Linked DNA regions of Saccharomyces cerevisiae S288C. The gene in region 3 interacts genetically with the main gene of each other region. Each region holds a gene or a part of one and is shown on either strand. Other genes may lie near its edges. The genes, in order: GLN3, STB5, GZF3 and SCS2.

Region 1 (5,173 bases), on a different chromosome or scaffold from region 3:
CATTGAGCCAACTGCAAAGATTTGTTTTTACCCAAACCCTTGACTCCACGATTGTAATCGGCACCTAATAGCACGCTGAAAAATAAGAGAGACAGGCGATCAAACTTCTTCCCTGCTACTTTATTAATTTTGGGTAGATCTATAACAGTAACAAAAGATTCTTTACTATCATGATGTCTACTGGGACTGTGGGAAGTTATTGAACTTGGGCCAAAATCATCGTAGAATTTCGAGTAATTTTTCAGGATTTTTTCTCCCCCAAATACGAGAGTATCTGAATCGTTACTTAAAATGAAATCTACAGCCCCAGAAACTTGCAGCCAAACACACTGGGCTTCTCCCTCCCCACATGCGATTACATATGAAATGTTCATCAAGTCTAATAATTTCCGTACAAGACTGATGAACTCAGGGTCAGATGGCGCTAGCAATCCTTTACAATTGCCATAAACTTCATGATTCTTAACATGCTGTTCCCAGCTTGAATAGTACTCTTTCTCATCATCACAAGTAGTAGCGTTCTGTTCGTGGTTAAATTTCCTTTTGAAAGAGGGTTTCATAACTCCGTCAAATACAAGCAAGAATTCGACGTTTAAACTCAGTAGTTCTTTTAATCGAGATATGAAGTTTATCACAGCTTTTCCTGTAGTTGTATAACTTCTGCTACCATAATATTCTTGACTACTGTCGATATCACTATCACGCGGAGAACGGGTAGGACTCCTTGATCTTGATCTAGATCTGGCGCTTATATCTATATTTTGGATAAATCCACACTCAAATAGCCATCCATATGCGTCAATCGCGATTCTTGGAGCTCTTTTTTGCGATTTATTAAAGTCTATGACAAACTTTCTCAACGGAATTCTGGAATCTTGCAGATATGGCTTCAAAAATTCCCATATTTGTGAGACACCCATTTTCTTGTGCAGTATCCAGAATATACAAGTAGGTAAAATGCAATAGAACTGTCATTTCATTGGATGGACCATATACATTATTGTTTATGTGTCAGTCAAAAGCTAGTTAAATTATTCAACTGTGGGCATTATAAGAAAAAGAAAATGCCATTAAAAAAGGGCCGTTTAAAAAAAAAAAAGAAAGAGATAGACAAAAGAAACAGGGGAGATAGAGAAAGAATACCAAATAATAATTAGAGTGATATTACAAATTCCTAATAATATATGTCTACACATAAAAGTAATACAAATAGAACAGCCAGTGTTCAATGCCAATATACTACCATTTCTTTTTTTACAAGTAATTTGATCTGAAAATAGCAAAACAAATAATACCAATGCTCAGGATTGTGGTCAGAGGTAATGAAAATCTATCAATGCAACCGTTCAGTAATTATTAACATAATAAGAATAATGATAATGATAATACGCGGTCATATACCAAATTTTAACCAATCCAATTCGTCAGCAATTGCTGAACTTTCTTTAGAAGATCCTTTTGTGGAATTATCCTCACTGATCTTTCCGCCTGCACTCACATCTGCTTCATATTTTATAGGTGAAGTAGAGTCACTTGATAATCTATTGTTAAATTTGTGATTTGAGATAAACGAATTCGACTCCGAGTTCTGCAATTGTTGTGATAACAATGAGGTATGTGATTTTCTTGAAGAAGGTCTTGAGACACTCGGTGAATCTACAGGAGTATTAAAAATATCAAAATTTGGCTTTTGAGAGACAAAATTTGATGATCTTGAATTTGTTGAAACGCTATTGCTTGAATTCCAATTCTGTCTATTCGAATTCGTGTTTGTGTTGGAATTCACGTCCACTTGTTGCTGTTCGTGCAGTTGTTGCAAAGACGCAGCCATAAACGATGAGGAGTACGATGCATTGCGCGACATCTTTCTTCTTGGTATATTCATTCCTTGACGTTGGAAAGAATTTGATAATAGATTCTGCTGTAGAGGACTATTTGAGTTAAAGTTTGCGGACGATATAATTCTTGGTGAGGATGCGACACTATTTCCTGCACTTACATTATTTGTTGTGTTCATTAGGTTCATGTTCATGTTGAACTGCTGTGAATTAGCGCTATTAGGTGAAGGTTTTGGTAATATCGGAACAACAGATCTGGATGAAGATTTACTGGAACTTGAGGTGTTCGATGAAGTACTACTTCGTCTTGAAGACCTTCTAAAATTAGGAGTAACAGTGTTCGAATTGTGACGCATTAAGTTATTAGAATTCAAATTTGCATTGCTTGCTCCATTAAAATTTGCGTTACTACTATTATACGATTGGCTGTTCATGAGGACCGGGGAGGGGACTGAGTTGAAGTTATAGCCTCCCCTATTTACATTAAGGATATTATTAGTATTACCGATGTTGTCTCTAATGATTTCTTCAGGTATCACTCTAGATAAAGAGTTTTGTTGTAGTGATTTTTTCCTCGATCGTATGGGTTTAGCATTTGTAGTGGTTACTGAAGTTGAGGCAGTTGCAGGTGCACTTGGAGTATTTTGTGCAATGTTTGGGTCCGTTTGTTTGGCTCTCTTCTTTGAAATCCTCTTTTTGATAACGTCCGATTTTAAGGATAATGGCCTCATGGTACCATGTAATTTCTGGAAAAGACCGCAGGCATTGCAAAGAGTATTCCCCTCTGGGCTTCTCCTCCAAAGCGGTGTCTTGAAAGTTTTACAATTGAAACATTGTATCAGAGGTTTTTTATTTTGTCCTGATGGTTCCATATTGGATATACTGGAAGATACTGAGGCAGCTCTTTTGAAATTGGCCAGGGACGTGGACGACATTGGCTTGATAAGTGAGTTTTTTCTTACAGAATTTGTTGTGTTGGATGAAGATAATCCTATCGAATCGCTCTTCTTCAGAAAAGGATGCTGGATATTACTATTGTTGCTATTATTATTATTGGTAATGTTCATAGCGGATGAAGATGAGTTGTTGTTTTGTAGTTTGTAGATGTTGAAGGAATGGTGGGACTGCGCATTAGTATTTGAGTTGTTATTGATAGATGGCTGGTTGATGTTGCTGTTGGACGTGCTGGAATTATACGGGAACAGTGAGGATTTGGAGACGCTGTTGCCGAGGGAACCGTGGTTGTATTGCGGTATGTCGGAAGTAAAGCTGTTAGGAGCACTAATAGTAGCTGAACCGCTCGAGTTGCTGGGCGTCATGTTGAATTGGTCCACGTTAAAGTCCCAAAGTTGTGCAATTTCACCATTTTGTTGGTTGGATGCGGCTATGTCGATGGGCTGAGTTGTGGCAAGTGAATCAAACATCGCAATATCATCATCCATATGATTGGTAGCTGGTGTGGTGTCCTTGACCGTCTTAGTAGTCACGCTGGTCGTGGCAGCTGCTGTAAAAGGAGACACGAAGTCCGTAAAATATAAATCATCGGGCAGTGCCTCCAGCATTGAGTCGAATGTGCCGCCGTTTAATCCACTGGCAAATGCTATATCCTCCTCGTTTTCACCGGTGTTGCCACTACTCTGGCTCCTACTGTCACCAGTTTGTCTCGGCTCTTCATTACTTCGACCATGCACGTCCAGATGACTATTCAGCAGGTCGTACAGCTTCGAATTTTCGGGGTCGTCTTGCATTTGTTTGTTGGTGGGGGAAAAGGGGGCCCTGTGCTCTCTCTCGTCTCTCTTTCTTACACACTCTGTTATTGTGGGATGGGCTACTGCGCTGACATTAGCTTACCACTCTTGAACATCTTTCTCTGTCTTGCAAGATGACTCTTTCCACTCTCTCAGCATTGCCATGTCACTTTCTTTCGGGAACCTGTCCGCCGGGTAATAGAGCAAAAAATGTGAATATATCATATTAAGAATGTTTAAAGGGCCAGGTAGAGATAGAGTACAAGAATGGAAGGTTGAAAAGCTGTAAAGAGATCAAGAAGGTGTGGTAATTATGAGCAAGCATAAGCATGAATGGACGGAATCAGTGGCCAACTCTGGGCCGGCTTCAATCTTATCTTACTGCGCGTCCTCGATTTTGATGACAGTAACGAACAAATTCGTGGTTAACCTGGACAACTTTAACATGAACTTTGTGATGTTGTTTGTACAATCACTGGTGTGCACTGTGACGCTATGTATCCTACGAATTGTAGGCGTTGCTAATTTTTGATCTTTGAACAGGACAGATGTAAAAAACTGGTTTCCAATTTCTTTGCTGCTCGTATTGATGATTTATACGTCGTCAAAGAGCTTACAATACCTTGCCGTGCCCATCTACACAATTTTCAAGAATCTGACGATCATTCTCATTGCTTATGGCGAGGTCCTCTTCTTTGGCGGAAAAGTCACTTCTATGGAGTTGACGTCATTTATTATGATGGTCCTTTCATCTGTAGTGGCCACCTGGGGCGATCAGCAGGCCATTGCAATCAAAGCATCATCTTTGGAGGATCTCGATCAGGAACTTGTTGAGTCAACCATCTTTGTGTTGAATCCGGGGTACCTCTGGATGTTCACCAATTGTATTTCGTCTGCATTGTTCGTTTTGATTATGCGGAAGAGAATTCGGCTGACTAACTTTAAAGACTATGATACTATGTTTTATAACAACGTTCTGGCATTGCCTTTGCTGCTAGTCTTTTCCTTCATTATGGAAGATTGGTCCACAAAGAATTTGTCTGTGAACTTGTCCGCCGACTCACTGGCAGCAATGGTCATCAGTGGGCTCATGTCCGTGGGGATATCGTACTGTTCCGGCTGGTGTGTTCGTGTAACTTCCTCTACAACGTATTCTATGGTTGGTGCTTTGAACAAATTGCCCATAGCGTTGGCGGGATTGGTGTTCTTTGACGCTCCAAAAAACTTTTTGTCCTTCTTTTCTATCTTTCTAGGATTTCTGTCTGGCCTGCTGTACGCTGTGGCTAAACAGAAAAAGATACAACAGCAAAAAGTTCTAGCAGCTACTCTTGAGAAGTAGTACATTCTTCATTTGCTCAAGCAAAATATACATTTATATTCATTTATATGGGGTCTTCTTTGTATTTGTTTTAGGTTATTCCTTTTTTTATGTTACATATTATGTCAGCATCGTTTTATGAAATATATTCATATATAATTTTTCAAGTAAATAGCAATAAAGTGATAAAATTTTGTTAGACGCACAAAAGGGCAGTGTCACAAATGGGAAGCGTGAACTCATCACCGAATGAAGAGTTTGAAACTGTG
Region 2 (5,329 bases), on a different chromosome or scaffold from region 3:
ACATTTTCTCTAAAATTCAATATGGATCCCACCGACAGCACTAAGCTGGAAACATTTCATCTTATTGCGTACTATACGGAAAAGGATATTCATCAAGGAAGTTTGAGGAGACCTTCAGAAAATCCTTTCTTCCATAAATTTCGACCTTCACAGAAACTATTAGATGCTTTACAAAAAGTTGCTGTAGGAAATGGCAGATCTAACCCGTCTAAAAATAATGAGAGAGGCAGAACCAAAGCTCATAATTATAAAACGCGCAGGTCTTTATCATCTTCTCCGAGCTATTGTGATCTCTTGAGCAATTATAACAACCATCCTGGAAATATTCCAGTTAGGACCGCAGTTCAGTTACCTTTAACCACCTTCAATAACGCTCCTCGAGAAATGCACCAACAGCAGCACCGACAACAGCAACAATATCTCTTACCCATAGATGAACAGAATAAATTACCTCTCCCGTATATGCAGCACCAGCCACAACCAATTGGTGTTTACAATCCTAACTATCAGCCTGGATTGAGACGTACGGTCTCACAACCTATGATTTTCTGCAATACATACAATACTCTCCCGCAACAACCTACTGCAGCACCTTATGAACGGCGTGGCGTGTCGCCTTCAGTGATATACTCCTCCAATACATTGAGCCCAATACCATACCAAAATATCGATCCATACTCTTCGAGGTCGGGTCCTGAATGCAATCACTCTAAGGCGCCTATCGCCCCAACAATGATGCCCCCAGTACACCATATACTTGTGCATGATTACCGACAACCAAAACCAGTCACAGATTCTATTAATCCTCCAAATGTAAACATAACCACCTCCACAACCAACAAGAACCTAGATGGCATTTATATTTTGCCAGCTCCTCGTATGAATCCCCCGGCTCAAACACAATACCAAATGATTCATGCGCCAGACAGCATGCAACATCCACCAACATTTAGTAAAAACAACACATCAAGCAATCCTAAATCCCACCAATACTCAAAGTAGAAGATCAGCATCCTTTCAATTGCTGAAAGGTTCACCTAAAGTACCGCTCATATTCCAAAAGGATTCTTCACTACATAGAAAGGGCAGCCAATTGTGTGTTTTTCAGAAAGGGTTTTAAAAAAACAGGAGGGTGCTTGTTCTTGTTGTTCCCTACCATCGATGGATTTCGAAAAACTATTTATAGGACCATCTGATTTTCACCTCCATCATTGTATCATATACTAACAAGCATATCCAAATTTGTAATTCTATCATGAAATTTCCAGAGAAAGAAACGCAAGGGAACTGAGAAATCAAACCTAAAAACGGTTCTTGGCATTGTTATGAAAAATGAATAAACCAGGGGGGCAAAACAATCGAGAACCCCAATCAAAACCATGTGAGATACCCACTTCGAAAGTTACTGATATTATAACTCTTGTGTCCTCTCTTCTAATACCTTACTTTCACCTTTCTCACGTAGTTAAAGTTGCAACAACACATTTTGTCCTCATCCAATTTCTTCTATAGAATATCCGTTTGCCTCCAGGAGTGAAGAAATGATAGCAGTAACACTGTGAAAGCGAGACTAAGAGAAACGACTTAAAGCTCGAAGACTTCTTGAGGATACGTTTATGTTTCTGTGGCTTCTTCTTCGCGGCGCGGTTCTCGCGTATAGGAATGTTCTAAGACAAGAAGGCATGAAGTTATGTTAACAGATTCTATATCTACTCGCTACGCATATATAAACGGATTCATCATTGAAACAATGGTACTTGTGGTAATGTGTACGACGATTTCAACCCGAATAAAAGCAAAAGTGCAAAAAAAAAACAAGAAGCGCTTAGCACTGTTGAATCATTTAGAACACTACTAATGCTGGTAATACACTCAAGAATGAAGAGTGGCTTACTCCATTGTTGATGCAAAAGTTGTAAATTTCACGAATTATTTAATGCGTTCCTTGCAACCTTCTATTTTGATGAACATCAGGAATTGAAACAAAAAAAAGGCTTCAATCTCAACGGAAAACGGGAAGAAAACTACACTCGATTATACTATATATGCCAAGAAGATTCTCCGACAGATTGTCTACTTAATTTCACATAATATATCTTGTTTTACTAGCTTATTATATAGCGTCGCATTTAATTCATGGCGCCATCACCCGCAGGGAATATAACGACAAGGCCGATACCACGGGAAAAATAGGGCGAGCGGAAATACTAAAAGAAAAATAAGCTTCCGAAATAAAACACCGACAATGAAGTTCTTGGCAAGGTTCGGTTATTTCCTCTACGTAACAAGAGGTATAATATCCGAGCGTACAGGGCTAAAAAATTAATACAAAGGTGTAAAAGAAGGACATGGATGGTCCCAATTTTGCACATCAAGGCGGGAGATCACAACGTACTACTGAATTGTATTCGTGCGCACGATGCAGAAAATTAAAGAAGAAGTGTGGTAAACAAATACCGACATGTGCAAACTGCGATAAAAATGGGGCACACTGTTCATATCCAGGTAGAGCCCCAAGACGTACCAAGAAGGAGTTAGCGGATGCTATGCTACGAGGGGAATATGTTCCAGTGAAAAGGAACAAGAAGGTAGGAAAAAGCCCATTGAGCACTAAGAGCATGCCAAACTCTTCTAGTCCGCTATCCGCAAATGGCGCTATAACTCCCGGGTTTTCGCCTTACGAAAACGATGATGCACATAAGATGAAACAGCTAAAACCGTCAGATCCAATAAATCTTGTCATGGGGGCAAGTCCAAATTCTAGCGAAGGTGTCTCATCGCTAATTTCGGTGCTAACATCGCTGAATGATAATTCTAATCCTTCTTCGCACTTATCCTCTAATGAAAATTCCATGATTCCTTCCCGATCATTGCCAGCTTCCGTGCAGCAAAGTTCGACAACTTCATCATTCGGAGGATATAACACGCCTTCACCACTAATTAGCAGTCATGTGCCTGCGAACGCCCAAGCCGTACCGCTACAAAACAACAATCGCAATACTAGCAACGGGGATAACGGCAGTAATGTTAACCACGATAATAACAATGGCAGTACCAACACACCGCAATTGAGTCTTACCCCATATGCAAACAATTCAGCCCCCAATGGGAAATTCGATTCTGTGCCGGTTGATGCATCCTCGATCGAATTTGAAACTATGTCCTGTTGCTTTAAAGGTGGTAGAACAACATCGTGGGTCAGAGAGGATGGCTCGTTCAAGTCAATTGATAGATCCTTACTGGACAGGTTCATTGCCGCATACTTCAAACACAATCACCGTCTATTTCCCATGATTGATAAAATAGCATTCCTAAATGACGCCGCGACAATTACTGATTTCGAAAGGTTATATGACAACAAAAACTACCCTGACAGCTTTGTTTTCAAAGTATACATGATCATGGCTATTGGTTGTACAACTTTACAGCGTGCTGGTATGGTTTCTCAGGACGAAGAGTGTCTGAGTGAACATTTGGCTTTTTTGGCCATGAAAAAATTTCGTAGTGTTATAATTTTACAAGATATCGAAACTGTACGATGCCTATTGTTGTTGGGTATTTATTCGTTTTTTGAGCCAAAGGGCTCCTCGTCATGGACAATTAGTGGTATCATCATGCGATTGACCATAGGATTAGGTTTAAATAGAGAGTTAACTGCCAAAAAACTCAAGAGCATGTCTGCTTTAGAAGCAGAGGCAAGATATAGAGTGTTTTGGAGTGCTTACTGCTTTGAAAGGCTAGTATGCACCTCGTTGGGCCGTATATCCGGGATCGACGACGAAGACATCACTGTGCCACTACCGAGGGCGTTGTATGTGGATGAAAGAGACGATTTAGAGATGACCAAGTTGATGATATCATTAAGGAAAATGGGCGGTCGCATTTATAAACAAGTCCACTCTGTAAGTGCAGGGCGACAAAAGTTAACCATCGAACAAAAGCAGGAAATCATAAGTGGATTACGCAAGGAGCTAGACGAAATTTATTCTCGAGAATCAGAAAGAAGGAAACTGAAAAAATCTCAAATGGATCAGGTGGAGAGGGAGAACAATTCTACTACAAATGTAATATCCTTCCATAGTTCTGAGATTTGGCTAGCAATGAGATACTCCCAGTTGCAAATCTTACTATACAGACCATCTGCATTGATGCCAAAACCGCCCATTGACTCACTATCCACTCTAGGAGAGTTTTGCTTGCAAGCCTGGAAACATACTTATACACTGTACAAGAAGCGGTTATTACCCTTGAACTGGATAACCCTTTTCAGAACATTAACCATTTGTAACACTATCTTATACTGTCTTTGCCAGTGGAGCATCGACCTCATTGAAAGTAAAATCGAAATTCAACAGTGTGTGGAAATACTAAGACATTTCGGTGAAAGATGGATTTTTGCTATGAGATGCGCGGATGTTTTCCAAAACATTAGCAACACAATTCTCGATATTAGTTTAAGCCATGGTAAAGTTCCTAATATGGACCAATTAACAAGAGAGTTATTTGGCGCCAGCGATTCATATCAAGACATATTAGACGAAAACAATGTTGACGTCTCTTGGGTTGATAAACTTGTATGACATATGTTCACCGAGTTTTGTCATGTCGTCATACTATACGGCAGCGGCTTGTTGCTGCCGTTTAATGAAACAGTTTTTTTCACGACAAGATTCTTCTATTGATTATTCACATATGTATTTTAATGAAAAATGAGTACTTTATAACACAACCCTAATGACAAATGAAAAAGTTGATTGCCATGAACTCTTAAAGCGATTTATGAGAACAATTAATTGATTATATATATATATCTTTGCAATTATGTCGTTTGTTGCAAGATGCTTCTGAAAGTAAGTAACTCTATAAGATAGATAATGCTACAAGACGCCAAACGCAAGTGAGTAAGAAATAAGAGCTGGCAGGTCTTCGCCGGAACACTATCATCAAAATCACTACAATTTAGCGGCTTAGCACAATACGCGTTTTCAACTTCCTACGCTAGCGATGACAAAATGTCTCCAAGAGGCGGAACTTGCGACGGATGCATGGAAATATCTTACGTAATGAACTTCCGTAATGAACTTCCGTAATTCAAGATCTCTTAGCATCTCTTGTTCAATCTTCAGACTCTACTAAGTGTTCTTACCAACCATTGGATGCTCATTACAAATGAATGAATATATTGCACGGAACGGAAGCGGCATGCTTTTTCCGTCTCGTGTGCTTAGTAAAGCAAAACGGAGTAGAATCGGTAAGAACTTCCTTTTTGGGTTGGAAAATCATTGCCATTGTTTGGACACCTTTCTTTTTCCGTATTGTTCGAGCACCG
Region 3 (4,806 bases):
AGTTATTCCAAGGCAACTCTGTGAAAATGCTGGGTTTGATGCTATAGAAATATTAAACAAACTAAGATTGGCTCACAGCAAAGGTGAGAAATGGTATGGTGTTGTCTTTGAAACAGAAAATATTGGCGATAATTTTGCCAAATTCGTATGGGAACCTGCTTTAGTAAAAATCAATGCTTTGAACAGTGCCACAGAGGCTACTAACTTGATTTTATCTGTTGACGAGACGATCACTAATAAAGGTAGTGAAAGTGCCAATGCTGGCATGATGCCTCCCCAAGGGGCTGGAAGAGGGAGAGGTATGCCAATGTAATTAACACTCTAAAAAACATGTGCTGCATACATTTTATTATTACTCTTTTTGCAGTAGTTATTTGCATCAAAGGTAATTTCTTTCAATCATAAATAAGTTAATACTGTATTGATAAAACCTTATTCTTTTCTTTTGTATACTCTGTATCTTAAAGTAATTCTAGGTCTAAAGAAAAATGAAAGAAGTAATGAAAACTCCGAGAAACAAATCATATCATTGGTCGTCATCCGGGTTGGATGTCATGCAGCTGCATTCCATTTCTTCGGCAAAATGTACGTAATATTCGATTAGAACCCTGTTTTGCAACTGATTATGCTACTATGTATTTATATATGCATACATATGATGATATTATATTTGAAAAATGATGCTGATTTTTTTGAAAAAAAGATCTATCCTCCTTTATTCCCTTCTTGTTTTACTGTCCTTTGCAAACGTTCCTCAAGAGCTCGACATTTCCCGTCTAATTCATTGATATGTCTCCTATATAAATCTGTAACAAGTTCTAACTCATTTATTCTAGTTTTGAGCTTTATAATTTCTTCTTCTTTGTGCAATTTAGTGGATAACTGATCACCTAAATCTTTAGCTGGGTGATTTTCAAATTTTCGTCCAGAAACATCAGAACTAGAAACACTATTTGAGATGGATTGTGAATTTGCTTTGGATATACAGGGAGCTTTAGAAGATTGTAGAAACGGTATGAAATGAGGCGGTGTCGTCTCGGTTTTCACGTTGCTAATCGCACGATCTCTCGTCTCAAGCATGTCGTTAATAGAAGCCATGTGGAAAGATAAAGGGGCTGGGTCGTTACGCTTAGCAGATATTATATCTGGGGAAGACATCGTCGATCTAATTTGATTCGGTACCTCGGATGGATTAGAGTCAGTCGTCCGTGAAGAAGTGGGTGCCAGAGTTGCGGCGGTAGAGGCAATACCATTATTGCAATTGGACACTATTTCACTTCCGTTATTTGATATTGAAGTACTGCTCAAGCTTCCAAGCAGCATTGATAAGTGAGGTAATTGAGGAGAATCTGCGCCTGTTTTTGATGTTACTGAATGTGAAGCATTGAGGGGGAAAGAGGCTGCGTTGAATTGCGACCGTTCTTTGATAAAAGCAGATTGGTGTGCAGAATTTGAATACTCTTTAACGTCCGTATAACTTGGGAACGTAAGTAACTTCTCTTGGTATATAGCAGTATCTTGTTTGGGCAGTTTAGGCTTTAAGTTTGGTCTCGAACAATCTCCCGACATCAGTACCTCTAATTTTGTTGCTGATAGGTGAGAATCGCTTCTTTCCTTAGACTCCGTTTTTGGCTTCTTGGATATCTTCGCAGTAGATGATGTTCCCATTAAAAGTTGCGAACTTTTTTTCTTTTTATCTTCAGATGTTACTCTGTTAGCTTTGCGACCGCTTGATTCTATATTACAATCACCCTTAAGCTCTGCAATCAGCGTCTGATTCCGAAAGTTGTCCAGATTATGTGCATGATTTGTATTACTTTTCCTATTTCGAGACTTTATTACATCAGTTTTCAAACTAATTGGCCTGGGTTTCCCATGAAGCTTTAAAAAGAGACCACACGCATTACAAAGCATAGCTCCATGCTCATCTCTTCTCCATAATGGTGTTGTAGAGGTTAAACAGTTCTTACAAACAGGAACATTAGCATCATTGGATACGTTATTATTGCAATTGGCATCCATTGTTTGTCCATTATTCTTAACTTGATTTTTAGGTAATATATGGTGTAATGAATTCGTATCCGGACTCATTCTTCCAGCAGTAGATGTGGAAAAAGACTTGTCATTCGCCTTAAAATTCATATTGTTGCTTATTGACGCTCCTGCTTGCGATTCACGCAATTGAACTGCCGATTTTTGCTCGGCAGATACTGCTTCATAACCTAAAGGTGGCCATCTCCCAATATGCCCTTCTTCTTCGCTTTGATTTAAGCTGTTGAGGTTTTCACTTGATTTTGGTTCAAATACATTATCTCGTTTTCTAATGTTATAGCCTCGAAGAGTTGTAGCCTGCGATGCCATAATATTACCAGTAGAATTGTAGAGCACAGTACAAATACCCGAAATGATATTCGTATATCTAGTATTATAGCTTCAACCGCTTGCAATATGTTCTCTTTCAAACTACCTTATTATCAAGCCTATATCTTATTTTTCACTGATTAGGATTGATAAGCGCAGATAAGCGAAGATAAGAAAATTTTCACTCTGTTCGCCCGCTATTTAGGATCAGTAATTTTAGTAACGTTAATCACTAGGAACGACGAGAAAGATGACAGAATAATATCTCATTGAAACTTGAAGTAGCGTAATTGAAATATTAAGTTCAAACTCAGAAAGGGGCAGCTATCACGAATGAATAACAATATTTTCAATGAAAGATTTCGTTCAACAGCATAGTGTTTTACTTTACAAAAATTTACATAATACTTCACCTTTTTTTTCTAATCTAAATACCTATCAAAAGGTTCCCCTAAAACGTTTTCAACAACCTTGACCAAACCGGTCCTGACTTCACGTTCGATCTCTTCATCATCATCTTCCAATAACTCAGCGATGACGGGAACGAGCTGTGGCAATAGAACTAACCAACTTTCACCTATCTTTGAGTATATCAACTTCATGGCTCTAATAGCCCATAATTTTTCATTGGAGGAACAGGAAGCTTTCATGTGTTCAACGATTAGTTTATTCAAAATTTGGTTATGCTCATCAACGCCACTATTGTTAGAAGCCAGAGCGCCAATTGCCTTGACCAGGTACTTCCCAATAGAGTTTTCTATATTAGATAGTTGATTGACCAAGGATACAGAAATTAACTCGAATCTGGAAGTTGATTTCCAGTATTCGTCTCTATCAAACTTTAGCGAAGAGGTTAGAGAGTTGATTACCAAACGTCTTAAATTAACGTTTTCCATGTCCTTGCTAATGAATCTTTTTAACAACATATCAACAGGTTCTAACAAATACGTGAAATAGGAAGTAATTATACCTCTCAAATTTTCTTGAAGCTTGTTGAAAAATTTGAAAAATGCCAACAGTCTTTCTGTTTCAGTGATACCTGCATTTGTAACGCCTTCACCGTCAAACGCCCATCTTACTAATATAACAAATAGCGGTCTAAATACTTTGTCATTCATCTTCAGGACGTAAGAGTTGGAAATTTCGTGAACGGATGCCTCTATCCTACTAATTGTATTATTATCGAAACTGGAAATGGATCTAAATTCGAATAAAGATAATAGTAACTTAAAAAATATTGGCGATTGTGAGGTTGCGGATTTTTTATCAATATTTTCAACAGTGGATTCTAATGTACTCAAAAATAGACTAACAGCAACTGTATCATTGGACGTTGCTATTTCAGTGGACCAAATTCTGAATAAAACTTTCAAAACTTCCTTCAAATCTATATTCTCAATTATCAATGAAATTACTGACAGCCTAATGCTGCTGTCAACTTCACGGGAAAAATAAATAACATGCAAAACATCCAAAATATTTGACATCAAGAAACTTGGTATCCTTTTGATTAGACCGGCGAACAGCAACAGTATAGCAACTTGCAACTGCTCTTTTAATGGGTTACTACTATCTGCCAATGAAGCATCAAATAATTTAATAGAAGGTGGGACTATTTTTGGATAGAACGCAATTGACTTGACTCCTAAAACTTGAACACAGTTAGTTATCAATGCCAACGAAGATATCTTGACCTCTGTCATATCAGAACTAACTTTTTCAGTAGCAAGGGTGAGGGCTTGAGTTAATATGGACCCCTCAAGCTTCTTACCATATTTGCTCACTAAAGCCGTCATCGTGTTCAATATTACTTGAGAAATAACAACAGATTTAGATTCCAAAGGCATTCTGTCGAGCAAAACCTTCATCACATTGTTAACTATAGGAATAGCTTCAGAGCCTTCTAACTCGAATTTGGACCCTATTACCAACGTTAGGTGGTATCTAATATCTTCATTAGTGGATGTACTGAGTAAGGGTAATACCGCATTAACAAACTCGTCAACTGGTAGAATTTGTAACACATTGCCAAGCACCTTGAATAGAATCTCCTTTATTTCAGTCGTGTGATCTGATAATGATGTTTCAGAGTCGGAAGCTTCCTCATTTTCTTGGGAAGTTATACATGAAAAGGTTAATTCTACAGAATTAATGAAAAAAAGAACACCTTCTAAAAGGGTTCCAAATTCTTCCCTGATGTTTCTAATTAACTTTTTATCGCTTGTTTCATCTAACAAAACAGAATATACCTTTAGTCTTAAATTTCTCCTCACATCGTAATAATCTTGATCTGTTTCCTCGGTTATTTTATTGATAAACTCAAAGGTATTGTTCATAAATGTCAAAAATTCACTTTCCGAAAAATTCAAGACACCATTTGAAAACAAGACACGGGATTCTAGTGATTTCTTCTTTTCCGAGGAGCTCTTTGATGATGTCAACAAT
Region 4 (3,984 bases), on a different chromosome or scaffold from region 3:
ATCATTGTTTTTTATTCTCATTTTTCATTATATGATAATTATATTTATGGTACATAGAAACGGTTGTATATGCATTGTACGTGCGTTTATTCTTATTCTTCATCCCCCCTTATCTTAGTTTAAGGTTTCTAAAATCGAAAGTTTCATGTGCGTATGAAGCGGTTGAAAATGCAGACGAGGTAGCATTTGGTTCATTAGCATTATAAACACTTTGCTTTAAAGAAGGTAAGTTATTTTCGACATCTCTGTTTCTAATTGCTTCATCGTCCACATAGGGAGAGTCTATACCCACTTTCCAAAACGAGTTCATTACTTGATTACCATATTCGTTAGAAACACTTGCATTTAAACTATCACTTGCCGCAAGGGCGTAGTAGTGCGCATCCTGTTGCATTTCTTCGCTCTTTTCCTCTGCTGGCCTTGAATTCTTGTCGTGCCAGCGCGATAAGCCCATGTTACTATATTGTCAATATGTGAGTCCCTCGTTCACTATGAGACCTAGCAAAAAACAAACTGAAAGTAGGTGGCTGTTTATGTATTCATTTATTTATGGACCTTTTAGGCGCGACCCCCTCGCAAGATCTTCGTTAATGTGCATCCAAGACCCTCCCCTCATTTAGTAGACCCCGCATTGTTATGGTTAATAACGGATAGTTATTTGCCCAAGATAGCGCCTACTACACTAGGGAAACCGAACATGAATAAATTAAACAAGTAATATGTTACAACAGTGGTATAGTTATCGATTATTCTCCTATTTAAAAAATAAAACATATAAAAAAGTTAGGAAAGTATGATCTTTTAGTTCCTTGTTCTAGTATTGTAAAGGCTACAGAAGGAAACAATAAAAAAAGATTGTAGAAAAACAAAGTAAAATAAAGACTGAAAGGAAGGAAAGGGCAAAACACACACATATATAAATATATATTTAGAATACAGCTATATCCTCAATCTCCCTATTATCTGTAGAACCATCCTAAAACCAAGATAAGGAGTGCAACCAATATGAATATACCCATGCTGGATGATTCATTTTCTGCAGGTACGGTTGCGGCTTCCTTTATCTGGTTCTGTGGGGCCGGAGTGCTGTTGGACGTTTGCTTCTCATTTTCATGAGGAACGGTTTTCTGAACGACAGGTGGGACCTCTTCTTTCTTTACTTGGACGGGAGGTTGAGTTTCCGGTTCAGCAGGGACCTCCTTTTCGTTTACCACAGCAGGCACTTCCTTTGGCTCACTGTCTTGGACTACTGGTTCAACAGTTTCCTTGTTTTCCTGTATATTTTGGTTCTGTGCTGGGTGTACATCTGGACTTATCAAATATTTGACTTTTATCTTTTTAGAGATAGCCTGTTGCTTGAACTCAGCCTCCAAGTCGGACCAAACATCTGCAACAGCCTTGCCATTGAGGTCGTAAGGAGAAGGCAACGTGATAACCAGGAACTTGTCACGGCACTTAAAGTCTGCGGCAGGCTCTTCAGTCAAACCCAGGAAGATAACTTGAACCTGGATTGTTTCACCTGGAGCAACAACTGCGGCGTTTGGTCTCACGCAGTAAAACTTTGGGGCTGTGGTCTTGACCTTAAATGCAATGGTTTGGTCTGAATTGTTGGAAATACTAGCGTATTCTGTCGATTGCTCCGTTAATGGAGACTTATACACCAACACGTCAGGGGAAATTTCAACAGCAGACATACTTAGGTTCGCGGAGATTGTAGAATACCCTTCTGCTACACTATTAACACAGAATGTGCGTCAAACCACACCACACAATAAACAATGCACTTTGCTACTAAAACCATTCTATTCACCTTGCGAAAACAACAAGCGAAAAAAAAAAAGCGAGGGCGAAAGAGTAAGATCACCACGCACGTTTAGGGGATCGGAGAGCTTATCTATACAGCAACTAGAAGTATATAGAACAACAATGGTCGAACGACGGGTTAGTTTCACAGCTCAATAACCATAGAAAGGAATCGTGCATCATATGGTAGCTAGTATTAGATCAGGTGTGCTGACACTTTTACACACGGCGTGCGGTGCTGGTATCCTGGCCATGCCGTACGCATTCAAGCCGTTTGGATTAATTCCTGGAGTGATAATGATAGTGCTGTGTGGGGCGTGCGCTATGCAAAGCTTGTTCATACAAGCTCGTGTAGCTAAATACGTACCACAGGGGAGGGCCTCGTTCAGTGCTCTGACGCGGTTGATTAACCCAAATCTAGGTATTGTGTTTGACCTAGCGATCGCTATCAAGTGTTTTGGTGTGGGCGTCTCTTATATGATTGTAGTTGGGGATCTGATGCCCCAAATAATGTCTGTGTGGACCAGAAATGCTTGGCTGTTGAACAGGAACGTGCAAATTTCACTGATCATGCTTTTTTTCGTGGCCCCGCTGTCTTTTCTGAAGAAGTTGAATTCGTTGAGGTACGCTTCCATGGTGGCCATCTCTTCTGTAGCGTACTTGTGTGTTTTGGTGTTGTTGCACTATGTAGCACCATCAGATGAGATTCTTCGCTTGAAAGGCCGGATCTCCTACCTCCTGCCACCACAATCGCATGATTTGAACGTGCTAAACACTCTTCCAATTTTTGTCTTTGCCTACACATGTCACCACAATATGTTTTCAATAATCAATGAGCAGAGGTCAAGCCGGTTCGAGCATGTGATGAAGATTCCACTGATAGCAATATCTTTGGCTCTCATCTTATATATTGCGATCGGCTGTGCTGGATACCTGACATTCGGCGACAACATCATTGGAAACATTATCATGCTGTACCCGCAAGCGGTCTCGAGCACCATCGGCAGAATAGCGATTGTGTTGTTGGTGATGCTGGCGTTCCCACTACAGTGTCATCCTGCAAGAGCTTCAATCCATCAGATTTTGCAACACTTCGCCGAGGAAAATGTAAGTATAAGTGCTACATCGGCGGATGAACCCACTGTTGCTACCGAAAGTTCTCCGTTGATTCGCGACAGTAGCCTTGACCTCAATGAGGTAATTGAAGAAGAATCTATTTATCAGCCTAAGGAGACTCCATTGAGAGGCAAGAGCTTTATTGTTATAACGTGCAGCATTTTAGTTGCATCATATCTTGTCGCCATTTCGGTTTCCTCCTTGGCCCGTGTACTGGCCATTGTTGGGGCCACAGGCTCCACTTCTATTTCTTTCATTCTGCCCGGGCTCTTTGGCTACAAGCTTATAGGAACTGAGCACAAGACAGCCGTGCCATTGACGACAAAGATTTTCAAATACACAGGTCTTCTCTTGTTTATCTGGGGGCTAATAATCATGATCACCTGCCTGACCGCAGCTTTGAAGCTAAACTAAATAAGCAAGAGTATACTCATTCTTTTTTTGCTATTCCTCCATACGTACATAGACCCTTGAACCTACATATCCGCGTAAGAAACTATTAATAACCTAGCACCTGCGTTAAATCAGAAATTCTTAATCGCGTTTTACATTCCCAACGCGTTCAATCTATTTACACACAACAGCTTTCGGAGTCGGGCTTTTGCTTCATACGTATTATAAAAATTTCAGCGATTGCTGAAATATGCAAAGAACACAGGAACACGAATAAAGTCATTGAGCCTCGTTTTCAGTGAGGTATCATTGTCTATCATATCAGCTTTCTTTGCTCAACAGAATCGCTAAAAGAAAGGGCGTGTTATTAACAGTAGCCAACCCAATAATTTGAAAACAACATTGGACATTATAGATCAACGCCATCTTTTCAGAAACACCAAAAATCACGTTTTCAAAATATGTCAATATCATCAAAGATAAGACCAACTCCTCGTAAACCTTCACGTATGGCTACCGACCATTCTTTTAAAATGAAAAAATTTTATGCCGATCCTTTCGCTATATCATCAATTTCTTTGGCAATTGTATCGTGGGTCATCGCCATCGGGGGCTCCATCTCATCTGCATCCACCAATGAATCCTTCCCACGTTTTACTTGGTGGGGTATAG

Evidence for each region.
Region 1: mutations in GZF3 (region 3) and GLN3 together harm fitness less than expected from each alone (positive genetic interaction), as found in Saccharomyces cerevisiae (2 studies listed by BioGRID).
Region 2: mutations in GZF3 (region 3) and STB5 together harm fitness more than expected from each alone (negative genetic interaction), as found in Saccharomyces cerevisiae (2 studies listed by BioGRID).
Region 4: mutations in GZF3 (region 3) and SCS2 together harm fitness more than expected from each alone (negative genetic interaction), as found in Saccharomyces cerevisiae (2 studies listed by BioGRID).

The regions. Positions count from the first base shown.
Region 1 is NC_001137.3:228,208-233,380, reverse strand, and holds GLN3 (nitrogen-responsive transcriptional regulator GLN3), read right to left. Parts: upstream 3,587-5,173; coding exon 1,394-3,586; downstream 1-1,393. Other genes in the region: YEN1 (crossover junction endodeoxyribonuclease), read right to left, coding at 1-920; YER039C-A (uncharacterized protein), read left to right, coding at 3,900-4,118; HVG1 (putative GDP-mannose transporter), read left to right, coding at 4,176-4,925; FMP49 (Fmp49p), read right to left, coding at 4,550-4,930; Smc5-Smc6 complex subunit KRE29, read left to right, coding at 5,129-5,173. UniProt on the Saccharomyces cerevisiae protein: Positive nitrogen regulatory protein. Required for the activation of transcription of a number of genes (including the allantoin pathway genes) in response to the replacement of glutamine by glutamate as source of nitrogen.
Region 2 is NC_001140.6:456,951-462,279, forward strand, and holds STB5 (Stb5p), read left to right. Parts: upstream 1-2,348; coding exon 2,349-4,580; downstream 4,581-5,329. Other genes in the region: ROF1 (Rof1p), read left to right, coding at 1-1,002. UniProt on the Saccharomyces cerevisiae protein: Binds to SIN3.
Region 3 is NC_001142.9:209,217-214,022, forward strand, and holds GZF3 (Gzf3p), read right to left. Parts: upstream 2,362-4,806; coding exon 706-2,361; downstream 1-705. Other genes in the region: chaperonin-containing T-complex subunit CCT7, read left to right, coding at 1-313; snoRNA-binding rRNA-processing protein UTP10, read right to left, coding at 2,784-4,806.
Region 4 is NC_001137.3:398,845-402,828, reverse strand, and holds SCS2 (phosphatidylinositol-binding protein SCS2), read right to left. Parts: upstream 1,695-3,984; coding exon 960-1,694; downstream 1-959. Other genes in the region: YER121W (uncharacterized protein), read right to left, coding at 110-454; AVT6 (aspartate/glutamate transporter), read left to right, coding at 1,987-3,333; osmosensor SHO1, read left to right, coding at 3,774-3,984. UniProt on the Saccharomyces cerevisiae protein: Acts as an endoplasmic reticulum (ER) membrane anchor for cytoplasmic proteins via binding to the FFAT motif of targeted proteins. Regulates phospholipid biosynthesis by modulating the subcellular localization of the transcriptional repressor OPI1.